2 linked regions of the Elephas maximus indicus genome follow. The protein of the gene in region 1 binds, or shares a complex with, the protein of each later gene. Links are inferred from orthologs where the notes say so. Each region holds a gene or a part of one and is shown on either strand. Other genes may lie near its edges.

Region 1 (7,563 bases):
AATCTGTTGAAATGACTCAAAGGCAATGGGTTTTATTGGTTTATCTCTAACAAGTATCTTAAAAAAACTATTACTATAATGGAAAAAAATTAAACTCTCAAAAATTTGTACAATTTCTACTCAGAAGCCACCACATCGAAGAGTATCATATAGTTTTCACTCAGTGGTGCTACTGGACATACAAATACTAACAGTGAAAAGAGAACTTTTGTTTCACTAGATTACAGAGAAGACCATTTCAAGTCATGCATCCTAACACATCCCACATATCTAAAAAGCTGTCTTCAAATAATTTACTTTGGAAGGTTAATATAGTTCCAAAAAATTTGGTGTATTTACAAGCTAACATCAGAATGACAACTATGTTATGATACTCCCCCACAAAAAGGATCCATTCCATTGGAACCTTTATGTAATACCTAACTTCAAATACTACGTTCATCTTTTTGGCTGTCAGAACTCAAACCTAAACATGCTGACTGAGCAATGCAGATCTGAGAATAAGTGATTAGCCTCACTATACCTTAGTTTTACAAAGATGTGGAAAACAACATTTACCACCCCACTTTAGTCTCCAACACAAACTCTCTACTTCCACAGTCCACCTCCTTACTGACTACCATGCCATGCTTGTCTCTCCAACTGAATTCAAAGCTCCTTGAAAACAGGCTTTGTTATTCTTTGTTGCTTTTCACTCCCCGCATAAGAGTAAGCAATCCTGGATAGTCAACAGATCTCCAATACTTAAACACAAAGTACTAATTTATGATGAAATTGTATAATCTTGCAAGATTAGAAGTGACCTTAGAACATTTGTTTTAACTCCTTATACAAAGGAAAATGAGGACCAAGTGATGTAATTGCTCCAAGTTCAGTCACAACTACTAATTCTGTGGCAGAAACAGGACTAGTATCCAGGTCTAACTCGCAGCTCAGTGGCCTTTCAATTACATCATTACCTCTCTCCAATGTTTTCTACACAAATGACTAGTCGTCTAGCAAAGTCTTTATACAGAGCAAGTACTGAACCCTAAAACTCCATAAAATGATTATTTATAGTACCTAGAAATTAAGCCCTTGGCAATATATTCTAAGTTTTTAACAGCCTAATCTTTAAACCTTTGAAATACATACCAACCTTATCTAATTGAAGAACTTTAAAATTAAGGGTCAAGAAAGAAAAGATTCAGTACACTGCTATCCATTAAAATTCAGCTCCAATAGATGATGTGCCACCTCATCAACTGGTAGTGGAGTTTTGCCCAGACTTGGGATAAATAAATCTGAATTTGACTCACTTAAATTCCTATTATTCACAGCAGCTTCTTAAAAAGTCCGTCTCGGGAGCATATGCATCAAATTCATAATCCTGATTTTCACATTAAACCACAAACGAGTCAGCGTAACAGCTCTCCTGTAACTCTTTTCACTAACACAACATACTAACATGATATCGCACTATTTTATATTAAAATGAAATGCTGCAAAGGTAATTTTGAAAAGGGAAGTTAAAATGTTCATAGAGATCAGCATTTTCTATACATTAGAAAACGGGGTTCTAAGAAATACAACACAGCTGAACAAGTAATAGATAATCTATTAAGCTACCTGTTTCACCAACACCCAAGGAAAAACTAGAATTAGTACAAAATTAAAGTTTAGCGTTATTAAGTGGGCTATGACATTTCACTTTCAACATCTGTGAAATTATTTATTTACACACTAAGCAGTGTCTGCAATACACTGTCTGGAATGAACTCTATCAACAGCTATCATTACTACTACTACTACTTGCAGCCACAGAAATACAATTAAGTAACTTTTTCAAAAAAGACCCAGGATATAAAACTTGCCGTCCTTCCAGTTCATCATTTTAAAAAACAAATGGCAAAACAGCAAGTATGTTCAGCTTAGGAAAGGGTTCACACTACCCAATTTGAATCAGCGTATAAATCATAAATTAAGCCGACACTTGATTTCCAATTCAATAGCTCCTTATGCAGTGTGACTCACCAAATTCTCCATTTTTTCCAACTATGAAGAATTAGTTACTCCTCCTCATAACTACCGTGACCTTCGCAGAAACTGGGTTAGAGACTTATGTATAAGATGTTTAATACAAACCACCCAGGATAGTGCTAAAGCTCTATGACCTTTAGACAGGTTCTGGGATCTGGCCTACTTGCTTGCCTTTGGGGACTCTCTGCACAACGCTGAATCTAAAAATTATGCCTGAACACAAGTAAAAAGCAGCTTACCCACCTCACAGTGGAGGCCTAGGCCCCATTCCCGGGCTGCAGAACCCAAGTCCCTTTACCTGAATCTCAACACCGTCCCTGACCCTGATATACAGGGTCTCCGCTCCCCCTGCCACCCCGCCCGGCGCCGAGGGCCGGAGCCTCAGAACCCCCTGAGTCGGGGGAACGGCGCCATTTTAGGCGGCGGCGGCGACAACCAATCCTTCAGCGAGAGACAGGGGGCGCCGGGTCGCTCGGGAGCCGCCGCCGGGCCGCGCCGGGCGCCGGACTGGGAGGCTCGGGGGGCTCTGGCCGGCGGCCTCCGCCATGTTGCACCCTCCCCACAGGCACCCCTTCTTGGCAAGATCGGCCCCGCGGCAGCACCCGCAGCTGGAGTGCAGCTCACCTTCTCGCAGAGGCTCTTGACCTGGGACTCGGACAGCTGCTTGCACTCGTTCAGCTGCTCGATCCACTGGTCTAGCTCCTTGGTGAACACCTTCTCGTCCATGATGCCACCCGCCCGAACCGGCTGCCTCTCCGCCCTACTCCCGCGCCGCCGCCCGCACACGGGCCACACGCACACGCCGCCGCCGGTTGCCGGAGTACTACTGTGGCTACTGGCGGTTGCTCGGCGCTAGCGCTGGCCCACTGGGTGGCCCCGCAATGCTCGGCCACCGGCCGCTGCTCCTCCTCCGCTGGCTCTAGCTCCGGAGCTCGGCTCTCTGTAATGGCGGCCGCCCGGCGTGGTGACGTCACGCCCGGCGTCAGAAGGCGGCGGGTGCGGAAGAAAAAAAGCGCCGGGACACGAGCGGCGCAACTGCAGATCAGATCCTGGTCTACCGCAAGAACCGAGTCAGAGGGGACGGAAACTAGGAGCCAACGCGCAGGCGCATTCTAGCCGGCTAGTAACTGACGCACCTTCTCTTTTAGGGCGTGGTCTCCCAGAAGGGAAGGCTCGCGGGGTGGTGGGATAAAAAAAAACCGAATCCGCGCAAGCGCTGTGCCTGCAGCTGTGAATCGGGATTATCTCCGAACGCTACGCCCTACGAGACGCCCGCGCGAGCTTCGCGCAGGCGCAGTCCTCGTAGAAGGGGGCTTCCTAGCTGAGACTTTTCACTTGGGGAGGCCTGGTAAAACGTGTTAGTTCTTCACCTGGGGATTGGGATCCAGATCATGGAAACGAGAAGGCGACCCCATGGCTCCTCCATGGTTCAACAGCACTGGAATTGCGTGGGATTCACACATCTCTGGGGGCAGGGACAGGGCACCCACTCACTGGCACCCTGGTTGGAGTGACCACCCCGCCCCTGGGCGCGGCTCACCCCTTGTAATTAGGTCACACGTGGGCGGAGGAGAGTGTACCTGCGGAAAGCACCTGACTTCCGCCACACACCTGTCCCTGGGCCCGGGCACTCGTTGGGCGCAGTGATGGAGGCTAAGGCTTGGGGCTTCTCTCGCTCTCGCACGGCCTTTCCTGTTGTCGCCTGCTCCAGGTGTGCCTCCTCCTCCGACTCCAGTTTCCCCGGTAATGAGAGACCCCAGCCGCTGCCTGCCTGGCCTCCTTTCTAGAGGGACACACCGGTCCTGACCGTGTCCCAGTGGTGGTAGAAGCAGCTGTGATTCGCATTTTAAAGCAAACTCCAATACCATAGAATCGGACCTCTGTCTAGTTTATGAATCTCTGGTGTTTGCGAAAACGTTTTCATATTCCACAGAGCACTAACTCTACGTAGAGTGCCAGATACCATGCCTGGAAATAGAGGGGTCATTCAAACAGAAGGTACCCTTTGTTAGAGAAGGTCACATTCTTCCAATAGTATTAGCTTAAATTGGTTTGGGGATAAGCAGAAGAGCGTTTATGATGCTTCCAGGATCTGAGAGGTAGAAGCTTTTCGAAGGGCATTCAACCATAAAGGACAAGGCAAGGGCTGAGCCTGGTCTCGTGTCTTCTAGACCCCTAGCCCCAATTGCAGTGGACCTGGCTAAACGATGTAGTTGGGCAGAACGCTAGCTCTGTGTCTCAGAGGGCCTCATCTTGACCAATAGGCTGAAGAAGGCCCTGGAGGCCTTATCAGCTAATAAACCAAAAAAAACCCATTGCCATCGAGTCGATTCCGACTCATAGCTACCTTATAGGACAGAGTAGAACTGCCGCATAGAGTTTCCAAGGAGCGCCTGGCGGATTTGAACTGCCAGCCTCTCAGCAGCCGTAGCACTTAATCACTATGCCAGCAGGGTTTCCATTAATGGCAGGACTGAAAATCCGCCGTCGTCCAAGACAACCTGCTTGACGAGGCCCGCTGGCTTGGCCTCCCCCAACTGGAGATAGCAATTCTGCTCTCCCTTCCTACCTCCCTATCCCCCGCCAGCGCGCCCGAAAGAAAGTCCCTCAGATCTATTCCCCAGAAGGCTTATCACATACTTAATTTACCAGGCTGGAAAAAAAGCTCTTTTAGTTCAAATTCTGACCCTGTTTTGCAGTTAACATCCCAAAATAATAGAGGAACAAATTAAGGCCATGTGGAATGATTATAAAGCCATACCCAGTGTGCCGTCTCATCTTATTATTTACCCCTGCCCCGTACTTGTGGGAGAACTAGTCCTGTATAATAGGTCAAGAAGCAGTTGGGCACTCAGAAAAGAGAAGGGATTTGCCCAAGGTAGTGGCCAGGATTTAAAACTTGATTCTACCAAGTGCAAGGTCTTGGTCACAGTTATACAACTGACCTTCCAAGGACTGAAATATGGAATGGGATCAATCTAATTTTCCTTTGCTTGGGTTTTCTACCTAGAAAGGTGGTGGTGATATTAGTTTGATAGATTAATAAGTATTGAGCACTCACTATGTACTAAGGTCATGATGAGTTTTTCCAAAGCACTTTGAGCTCCTTAGTGGAAGTATTAATGGAAGTGTTATTTTCTCTTGATGCAGATGACTTGGCTCACCACCACCACGAAATGGAGAGAAGATATAATTATATGTACTTAAAACATCCTGCCAAATAATTAGATGCCATGACTTAACTTCTTAAGGAATGAATTCTAGGAAGCTCTCATTAGCATTCAGGCAGTGAAGTAAAGCATACATGATTATAAACAATACAGAACTAAAGTAAACCAAATATCTTTTCCTTTAAAAGAAAGGAACATTTTTTCCTTTAGAAGAAATCTGGAATGTTTTCTTACTCTGTAGCACTCAAAATAACCAATGGATTTGACAATTCAGCTTAAATAATCTGGTCTTAACTAATGTGAATTTACTGACTGAATTCTAGAGCTGAGGAATACTTGAAACAAAAATTTAAAGAAAACCAAAAAAGAATTGTTCTTTTACTTACTTGGCAAAAACCAGAAAGGGAATAAAGCAAATATGCTTGGAGAAAGAATCTCTGCTCAGATGGCAAATTCAGTATACATCGAGTCTGAGTGTTGCCTATGATGTTTTAAACATAGCTATAAATAAAAATCATCTGATGATGGGGCTGGGTAGGGGGAGGATAACCTTGAGCAACTAGTTTTATAATAGGTACTCTCAGCCAAGATATAAAAATTTATATTAAACATGGAGAAGGAACAAGATGTATCTTATTTCTAAGCAATTCTCTTGGCCTTTCGTTAGCTTTATTTTGTTGTTCTTTCCAGCTCCCTGATTTCTAAACTTACCGAGACAGAAAGTAGATCAGTGTAGGTAAGAAAAGGCACTGGGGTCGGATGGACGTAGGTTTGAATTCTGGTTCCCACCTTCCCAGCTGTGTGACCTTTGCAAGTCACCTAACTTTTTCTGAATTTCAGTTTCTCTCATCTACAAAGTGGGGATAACTGTAGTAGCCAAATAATAGGATTCTGCTGAGAATTAAATGAAATTGTGCCTGTAAAACACCAACACAGTATATAATAAATGTCCAAATAAGTATTAGATATTATTATCTCCAAGTCGTCTCTGATTGGAGCCCCTCAGTGTCTGTTTTTTACACAGTGAACAGAACATGTTTTTGTTAGCTGCCGCTGAGTTGGCCCCAACTCATGGCAACCCCATGTGTTACAGAGTAGAACTGTCCCATAAGGTTTTCTTGGCTGTAATCTTTATGAACTCATAGTGAGTCAGAATCGACTCACTGGCAGTGGGTTTGGTTTTTGTTTGTTTGGTTTAATTTTTATGGAAGCAGTTTGCCAGGCCTTTCTTCTCCAGAGCTGCTGGGTGAGTTTGAACAACCAACTCTTAGGTTAGCAACCGATTATAAACTGCTTGCGCCACACACTCCTTGCATAGAAGATAAGGATATCAAAAACATCATATAGAGACAAGGCTATAGGCTGAAGTGGGGATGGCGGAGGAGCTTAAAGGGAAAAGAGTTGGAGATGGAGCAAAAAGCACACCCCTACTCTCCCTTTACCATCAAGCAGACATTCAAAAAGCTTGTATAGAGAGAAAGTCACTTAGGAATAAATCCAAGATCTAATACAGCTGGTGAATGTCATGCTCCTGTCAGCTCAGAATCTTATATCTGAGAAAGGTGCCATATTTGAAAAGGATAACATGCCCTCTGCACTGAGGCCTTCTATTCTTCCAGAAGCCCCCAGAATAAAGGCCTGAGCAGTCAGCACCTTAGTGGCTCTGCCCAGGAAAAGCCAGCCGTGTTTTGGCCATCTGGACCTGCCAACTACCAGAACATTTCTGCATTCATCATACGCAACGATGCCTGCAATTTTTTGGTATCTATCATTATTCCTTTCCTTTGTGGTTTTCAGAAAAATTAAGGTTATATCTCCCTTTCACCCGGAATTAGAATTTTACAAATGTGGCTAAAATTCTGTGGCTAGGAACTTTGCCACTGGTATTATGCAGCCCTTCCCCCTAGCTATTGCAGTTTGGCTACAGAAGAAAGAGAGAGAAATGATCTTGTACCCTGATGATGCCCAGTTCGCCCAGATGCCATCTTCAGAGGGAAATTTTTTTTTTCTCTGTTGCAGAAAAATAAACTCTGAAGTGGAAGGCAAAGTTCATCACTTCAGAAGGCTGGTAAACTTAAGAATACTGTCACCAACTCTGCAGCTATTAAAAATTCTATCATAGAAGAGTGATTATTGACATAGGACATTATTCACAATATGTTGTTAAGCAAAAAAGTACCTTTAAAACATTATGTATGCTATAACCCCAATTTTATTAAGAATCTATTATAAATATATGGTTATAGATTATGGAAAAATGCACAGCAAAGTATTAATAGTGACTGTTTCTGGTGTGTTGGATTGTATTTTATTTTCTTTTTGTTTATTGATACTTCTGTAATGAATACATATTACTTTTATATTTGTGGAAAAA
Region 2 (7,968 bases), on another chromosome or scaffold:
TGTACACACCCCAAACTTGGGCCCCTCGGACAGAACTGACCCTTCTTCATACATGCCTGATCTACTTGATTATAAGCTGCTTATCCTTTTTTGTACCCCTGCACCAATCCCATAGCCCTTAGCACAACACCTCAGACATACCCCTCAGGGAATGCACCTAAGAGAGATCCCAGCTGCCTTTGTGTGTGTGTTGCGGGGTATGTGTGGGTGTGTGCTCTTGGGGGGAACTGGGCCCATCACCCTTGTTCCCTGGCTCCTGCAGAACAGGTGTGCACACACTTCTGCCCAGCCAGCAGTCAGGTGCTCACAGCACATGGTGAAAAGAATGACTTTGTGTTCCAGGCCCAACTCTTACTAGCTATATAATTATAGGCAAGTTATCTAACCTCTCGGAGCCTCAGTTTCCTCATTTATTAAACAACGACAGTCTTAGTACCCGCTTCCCTTGGCACAGTGTCTAGCAAATGAAAATCCTAAACACTGGTCACTATTATTATGAACTATTATTACTATTATTATGAACAAGAAGAAAGTGAAAGGGAGAGGAAGCACCTGACCCAGGAACCTAAAAGACCTAAGTCCAGTCCCAGGTCAGTACACATGGGAAGGGAAGGACCTACTGTGTACGAGGTGGAGCTTAGTTATCATCTCAAGGGGGAAGAAATGACTCATCCACAATTAATTCGGATTCAAAGCTGAACCTAAAAGGGCCATAAATGGCCTACCAAGTGTTCTACAAATCCAGGGGAGGTGGGAGACCTCACTCTCAACTAAGGGCTCAAGCAAGGCTTCAGGGAGAAGGCCGTGAAGAATGGCCAGGCCTGGGACCAGCAGAGATGAAGGAGAAAGGGGAGAGGTGGGATGAGCAATGAAGATTCTCCACTTACCCACCCACACCCTCTACCCTCATTCCATCTAGGCAAATCTCAGTCACACTATCAACTCCTCCCCCCGCCCGCCCCCGCCGGACTTGCCAACCCCTGAATACCAAATGCAACCAAAAATCAAAAACAGAAAATTAAAACCTGAAAGGGGGTCACAGTTATGCCTGGCTCTATGCACCCCAGTCCCAACAACCCTTCCCAACCAAATACTTTACACCTAAGGTCCTCACAAGACTAATTACGTATTTTTGTTCTTCTCAATCATCTAGTAGGCAAAGGCTTACTGTGGATGGGACAGTATCTATTCCATCAGACTAAAAGCTACAGATGGGTGGAGACCTCGCCTACTGCCCCTGAATTCCGCCCCTCGCCCCACTCCTTAAAGGACCCCCTTAGAACCCGGTGTGGCTGACGTGGGTGTGCATCGACTACAGCTAAGCTGCCATCTTGGCATGCCCACCCCCCACGGGCAGTGCCTGGGTGGGGTACACCACCCTGCCTGCCTAGCACCCCAGGAGGTTCAGTACCCAGTATACCATCACCACTGAGTATACAACCCTACACTCAGAGCCTTAGGCCCTGAGGGGTTATGGGGACAACCCAGAAACAGAGCTGCCCAGCAAATCTCCAACAGCCCCAGGATAAAGGGTTTGATGGATAAGGTCAGAGATGGCGGCCCAGCAACCCAGCCAATCAAAGGGCAAATGAAAGCAATACACCTCTAGGGTCACAACACTGGTGGGCACAACACCAGGTCAGCGCCAGCCCACACCCTGAGGGGGCCAGCCCCAGGAAAGAAGCTGGAGGAGGCTGAAACTGGTATCCTAGCATCCTCTGTGTGAGTCTGTACCTCAAAGGAACCACACCTCTGAGTCAGACCTCAGCAACAGCAGGAAAGAGAGAGTAGAAAAAGGCAGGGATAAGGAACAGGGGAAGGCAGTATGGAGATAGACTGGGAAGGTGAAAGAAGGCACATCAAGAATGGGCTTGTGTCAGGACACCATGAGAAAGGTATGGGTGCCCAGGGTTGGCTGGCTTGTGGGGTGAGAAGGAAAACTAATCTGACAGAGAGGGCAGATTCCCCATTTGAGGATCAGATCGTGCAGCCCAGAAAGACAAAAAGCAAGCACTGGTGCAAAAAGGAAAAAAATGCAAAGGTTATTCTAGGATTAGGAATAAGGGGAGGAGCCTGCTCAGGTTAAGGATAGTGACTGATCTAGGATGAACCTGGGAGGAAGGTGATGATGCCTGTCAGCCCTCTTAGCTTTGGTACAGAAGAGGCCTTGAAGTCAGGAGACCCGATATTGCAGCTCTGCCTCCAGCAGGTTATGTGACCTTGGACAAGTCTCTTGCCCTGTCTGGGCCTCAGTCTCCTCATATGTACCACCAGAGGTTGGACTGCATGCGTTCAAAGGTCCCTTCCTGCCCTGACGTTCTGAGGTTCCATCAACAGAAGGCAGGGCTCCGTCCTGGCGTACAAGTTTGTGTGTGAAGGAAGAACTGGAGGGAGGGGCCTAGCCCAGATTTGGGTGGAGGAGAGAGAAAGCAGCACAGTCCTAGGTCAGGGGGCTGGGCGCAACGACAGAGAAAAGGCTGTAGGGGATGGGAGAGAAGGCGGTCCCTGGCTGGTGGGAAGAGGAGGGAAGGGGCTGCGCAGGGGGGAGAGGGGCAGTTCTAGAGGGAGGCGCTGTCTCAGATGAGGAAGGCTGTCCCAAACGGGCTGAGGGGCTGGGAGGAAGGGGCGATGCGGGAGCAGGAGGACGGAGGGAAGTAGGGGAGTGACCTGGGAATGGGACAGATCTGGAGGGAGGAGGTTACTCTAGGCCGGGGGCAGGAGAGTGAGGGGGAGAGAGAGGGGTGTATGTGGGGTGCAATCTGTCCCGGGCAAGGTGGGGGAGTTATCCCAGCTGCGGCACAGGCTCGGGGTGCTACCCGCCGCGGGGGCGGAGAGCTGGCCCTAGAGTCCTGCGAGGGCCGGACGGGAGGGTCAGTCTGGGGCTGTCCCGGGCCTGGCTCGGGCCCCTCCCAGAGCTCCGCGCAGGCCCCGGGGCGGAGGTGCGGGGGAAGGGGCCAGGCTCACCTTCTCCTTCTTCAGTTTGTAGGGCATCTCGGGCGGTCCGGACCCGGCCCGGCTCCTGCGGTCCCGCTCCGGCTCCGGCTTTGCTCGGCCGCACTCGGCCCGCTCCGGCGTCTTTTCGCCTCCGCCTGCGCGCTGCGCCCCGGTCGAGCCTTGTCTGAGCCTCCAATTGGCCCGAACCCTTATAACCTGCCTGACAACCCGGCGCCGCCTCCTCGGATTGGTCATTGGAGCCAAGCTGCTTCCTTTTTTTCTCATTGGAAAGAAAGAGTACAAACCGCCAGGGTTCAGCTCCCGGAATAGGCTGAAGTGAGAGGTCCCGCCCTAAGTGGGTCGAGCTTAGAGAAGGAGGCGGGGGTAAAGGGAAACCCAAGCTTGACTTGGAGCGCTGCTCTCCTGCAGCGGCCTTGGTCTTTCTTTGTAGTCTTTGGAGTTCTCTGTTCATTCTCTTCTAAAGTGGCTCTTTTTCCTCACTGTGCTACCCTGCCCAGTCCGAATTGAAGGAAAGAAGCCCTAAAATGAAGGGCACCTTTCTCTATCAGGGTAACGTAGCACTAGAGAGAACTCCCAAGGGCCCTCGAGGGCATTTACCTCCCTAGACTGGACTTGCAGAGGAGCAAAAGGGAAACCTGGCAGATCCTGGGCCTGGGTTTCTCAGGTTCTGAAGTCTGAGGCTCCCGGCTTTGTTGCAGCTTTGGGAAAAGGGTTCCCGTTCCTACTGGCATTGCCCTGGGATTGAGGAACCGGCTAGACTTGAGCAGTCGGGAAGACAGTGAAAAAGTAACGTCATTGTTGCGTGCCTCCAGAAAATCCATCCCTTCTCCCCACCCCACCCAAGCCAACGTCCTAATGGATAAGGCTCAATTCTTGCCCTCAAATGGTTCAGAGACTGGTTAAATGCATAGATTTGTATAAACAAATGATTAAGATCCAAAACCAAATCAGTTGCCATCTAGTAGGTTCTGACTCATGGCAACCCCATGGGTGTCAGAGTAGAACCATGCTCCCTAGGGTTTTCTTGACTGTAAAGGAGCCCTGGTAGCACAACAGGTTAAGCGCTTGGCTGTTAACCAAAAGGTTGGGGGTTCGAACCTACCCAGCCACACTGCTGGAGAAAGAACTGACAATCTGCTTCTGTAAAGATTATAGCCTAAAAAACATATGGGGCAATTCTACTCGGTCACATGGGGTCATTGTAAGTCGAAAATTGACTAAACAGCACCTAACAACAACAATCTTTCCAGAATCTCATCACCAGGCCTTTCTTCTGGGTGTGTTTGAACCATCAGTTAGCAGCAGATAGCAAAACTGCTTGCACCACCCAGGGACCTGTGATGATTAAGATACAATGTGATAAATTACACAAACCTAAAGACTACATAAGGAGCCTTGGTGGCACAGTGGTTAAGTGTTCAGCTGCAAACCAAAATTTTGGCCGTATGAACTCAACAGCCACTCCATGGTAGAAAAATGTGGCAGTCTGCTTCTGTAAACATTACAGCCTTGGAAACCCTATGGGGCAGTTCTACTCTGTCCCATAGTCAGAATCGACTCCAAGGCAACAGAAATGGAGAGACTACACAGAAGGGTATGTTTCAGAAAGGCTACTCCAGAAGCAGATTGGCTACATGAAGGAACTGGAGAAGGCTCCCCAAAAGTAAGCCCGTGGACCTTGCCCAGGAGAAAAATGTTATAAAACGGTGGCCATGAGGATGAAGAAGGGAGGATGGAATTGGGAAATGTGTGTAATCAATGGGATTTAGTGACTCATTGGATTCTGGGGAGATGGGAAGGGAAAGGGAGGAGTTGAGGATAACTGGGAAGTGGTCAGAGATGTTAGGAAGAAAACTGTCACAAGGCAAGGGAAGTAAAGTGTTTCTGGAAAGGAGAATTGTTCAATAGCGTCAGATTCCAGAGAAAGGTCAAGTAAGATAAAGATCAAACAGCATCCCCGGATTCTGTAGTTAGGAAGTTACTGGTGATCTCTGCCAAGGAAGTCTCAGGAGTGGCAAGGAAGTTGTAGTAGGTTGAGGGGTGAGCAAGAGGTAAGGATGTGATCATAGCAAATTTAGGCTACTGGCTATCTTATAGAAATTGTATTGGGCTTTCAGTGACTAATGATAATTTCCAGGTAACACAAAGTGAACTGGATGCCAGTCATTATTTACAAGGAGAAAATCCTGAAAGGAAATGACATTTATTTCCTGGGTATTTGTGTCTGTGGAGTCCCGGGTGGTGCAAACAATTAACACCCACTCTCAAAAGGTTGGAAGTTTTGAGTCCACTCAAAGGCACCTTGGAAGGCCTGGTGATCTACTTCTGAAAAATCAGGCATGGAAAACCCTATGGAGCACAGTTCTATTCTCACACGTGGGGTTGCCATGAATCAGAGTCCACTAGACAGCAACTGGTCATTTGTGTCCATATGGGTTCCAACCCCAGGCAGGGTAAAACCCATTGTCATCAAGTCGATTCCAACTCGTGACAACCCCATATGTTGCAGAGTAGAACTGTTCCATAGGGTTTTCTTGACTGTAATCTTTACTTGAAGCACTTACTGATGAAAATCAAAGACTACACCCTTCAGTATGGATTATGCCTCAACATAGAGAAAACAAAAATCTTCACAACTGGACCAATAAACAACATCATGATAAATGGAGAAAATATTGAAGTTGTCAAGGATTTCATTTTACTTGGATCCACAATCAACACCCATGGAAACAGCGGTCAAGAAATCAGAAGACATGTTGCATTGGGAAAATCTGCTGCAAAAGACCTCTTTAAAGTGTTGAGAAACAAAGATGTCACATTGAGGACTAAGGTGCGCCTGACCCAAGCAATGATATTTTTAATCGTCTCATATGTATGCAGAAGCTGGAGAATAAATAAGGAAGACCAAAGAAGAACTGATGCCTTTGAAATATGGTATTGGCAAAGAATATTGGATATACCATGGACTGCCAGCACGAACAAATCTGTCTTGGACGAAGTACAGCCAGAATGTACCTTAGAAGTGAGGGTGACAAGACTTGTTATCAGGAGGGACCAGTTCCTGGAGAAGAACATCATGCTTGGTCAGCGAAAAAGAGGAAGACCTTCAATGAGATGGATTGACACAGTGGGTGCAACAGTGGGCTCAAACGTAACAACAATTGTGAGGATGGTGCAGGACCAGGCAGTGTTTCATTCTGTTATACATAGGGTCACTATGAGAAAGAACCGACTTGAGGACACCTAACAACAACAAAAAATCTTTACAAAAGCAGATTGCCAAGCCTTTCTTCTGTGATCTTGATGGGTGGGTTCAAACCACCAACCTTTAGATTAGTAGACCAGTGTGAACTGGTTACGCCACCCGGGGACCTTCCAGGCAGGATACCAGATGTATTTATCCTTCCCTTTTTTTTAAGGTCCCAAGGAACACTACAGTCCTAAGGCCTAGAGCTTGCCTGCTACTGTATAAAGCAGATATATTCTTTTGGGCCTATCCACTGCCCTCCCAGTCCTTGGTCCCTCTGGGAGGCAGGGGACAGAGCCACATATAGTTTGTTGTTAGGTGTTGTCAAGTCACTTCTGACTCATAGTGATCCTATGTACAACAGAATGAAACACTGACCAGTCCTGCACCATCCTCACAATCGTTGCTACATTTGAGCCCATTGTTGCAGCCACTATGTCAATTCATCTGTACTTTACCAAGCATGATGTTCTTCTCCAGGGACTGGTCCCTCTTGATAACATGTCCAAAGTACGTGAGACGAAGCCTTGCCACCCTCGCTTCTTAAGGAGCATTCTAGCTGTACTTCTCCCAAGACAGATTTATTTGTTCTTCTGGCAGTCCACCATATATTCAATATTCTTTGTCAACACCATAATTCAAAGGCATCAAATCTTCTTCAGTCTTCTTCAGACATACCGTTCAGTACCACCAAATGAGAACTTTCATCCATGTGAATCCAGGTATCTAACACGTTCTTGCATGCTGTTTCGAAGAAGTGTGTCTGGGCTCTTTCAGGTTTAGGACTGGAGGTACTTCCAGGAAATATAATCAGACAATTGATGATTTCCTGTCAATCTGTGGATAGAAATCTCTCATAACATGCAAATCTAATATTCAATTTTCAAATACTTGAGTTTCAAAAATATTTTCAGGAACGCATAACTACGAAGTAGAAGATGTTCAATTGTGAAGGAAAGCAGAAAGTTGGGCAGAGCTAGAAGAGAGGCAAGGTCCAAAGAGTAGATTACCACCATTCCAATCCACTGACTCTGGGTGCAAACGTATTGTTAATAATTGGAAATGTGTGGCCTACAAATCAGTGCGGGTGGAGACAAGGGTGCAATCTCGGTAACACCACAGGTGGGAAGCAGGCTGTTGTATTGGTGCTGATTATGGAAGCAACGACGCCCTCCTCTAGGGTCTCCTAGAGGTTAGGGAATGGGTCTCCGGTTTGTAAGTATTGGTAAGGGGAGAGTAACCGGATTTGGAAAGATGTAAGACCGAAGCTGCTTTGTCTTCGCTCCCAGTTTGGTGGGTGTAGAACGAACAGGACAAGACGTGTTGGAACATGGGTTTTGTGTAGGATGTGTTGGAACAGGTGTGGCCGCACCAAGCACTCCAGGGCTACATGAATCACATGTAGTAATTCAGTCAGCAGCCACTACATATCCACAAGCACGTCTAACACAGGGTTTTATAATCCTACCACTCTCCTGCTACCCTCCCCACAACCCGAAACCTCAGTTCCTACAGCTCCACAGAGGGAGGAGTCGATTCTTTCCTAAACACAGCCCCCAGCACTGGGCCCAGTCGCTCCAGGGCACGCTGACTGTTCAGTGGTCAGTCAATAAACTGTCAAATGCATGCCAGTTAACAGAGAGAACCTTTCTTGCCTACAAGACGCCTGCAAGCACAGGCTCAAAGAGCGCAGGCGTAAATGTTACGTAACCGCAGAGATGCCTGCCATTGGAGCACCTCCTGACCTCTCCGAGGCGCAGTTGCTT

The links.
Region 2: the proteins of PPP2CA (region 1) and PPP2R5D are in contact, whole or in part, in a cryo-EM structure (PDB 8U1X), measured with the Homo sapiens proteins. The link is inferred for Elephas maximus indicus from reciprocal best matches to the Homo sapiens genes PPP2CA and PPP2R5D. Residues at the interface, in NP_002706.1 of Homo sapiens: Arg89, Tyr91, Arg121, Gln122, Ile123, Gln125, Val126, Tyr127, Gly128, Tyr130, Asp131, Leu134, Arg135, Ala140, Trp143, His191, Trp200, Arg214, Ala216, Leu243, Met245, Tyr265, Tyr267, Arg268, Cys269, Arg302, Arg303, Asp306, Tyr307, Leu309; in NP_006236.1 of Homo sapiens: Ile80, Lys82, Asn188, Pro189, Ala192, Glu193, Phe194, Asp195, Glu198, Asp199, Glu200, Ile288, Tyr289, Glu290, Glu292, Lys332, Val333, Lys334, Lys367, Phe368, Trp369, Pro370, Lys371, Thr372, His373, Ser374, Pro375, Lys376, Ser413, Pro414.

The regions. Positions count from the first base shown.
Region 1 is NC_064820.1:146,616,280-146,623,842, forward strand, and holds the start of PPP2CA (serine/threonine-protein phosphatase 2A catalytic subunit alpha isoform), read right to left. Parts: upstream 3,095-7,563; 5' UTR 2,746-3,094; coding exon 2,644-2,745; intron 1-2,643. UniProt on the Homo sapiens protein: Catalytic subunit of protein phosphatase 2A (PP2A), a serine/threonine phosphatase involved in the regulation of a wide variety of enzymes, signal transduction pathways, and cellular events.
Region 2 is NC_064819.1:107,397,352-107,405,319, reverse strand, and holds the start of PPP2R5D (serine/threonine-protein phosphatase 2A 56 kDa regulatory subunit delta isoform), read right to left. Parts: upstream 3,108-7,968; 5' UTR 2,992-3,107; coding exon 2,965-2,991; intron 1-2,964. UniProt on the Homo sapiens protein: The B regulatory subunit might modulate substrate selectivity and catalytic activity, and might also direct the localization of the catalytic enzyme to a particular subcellular compartment.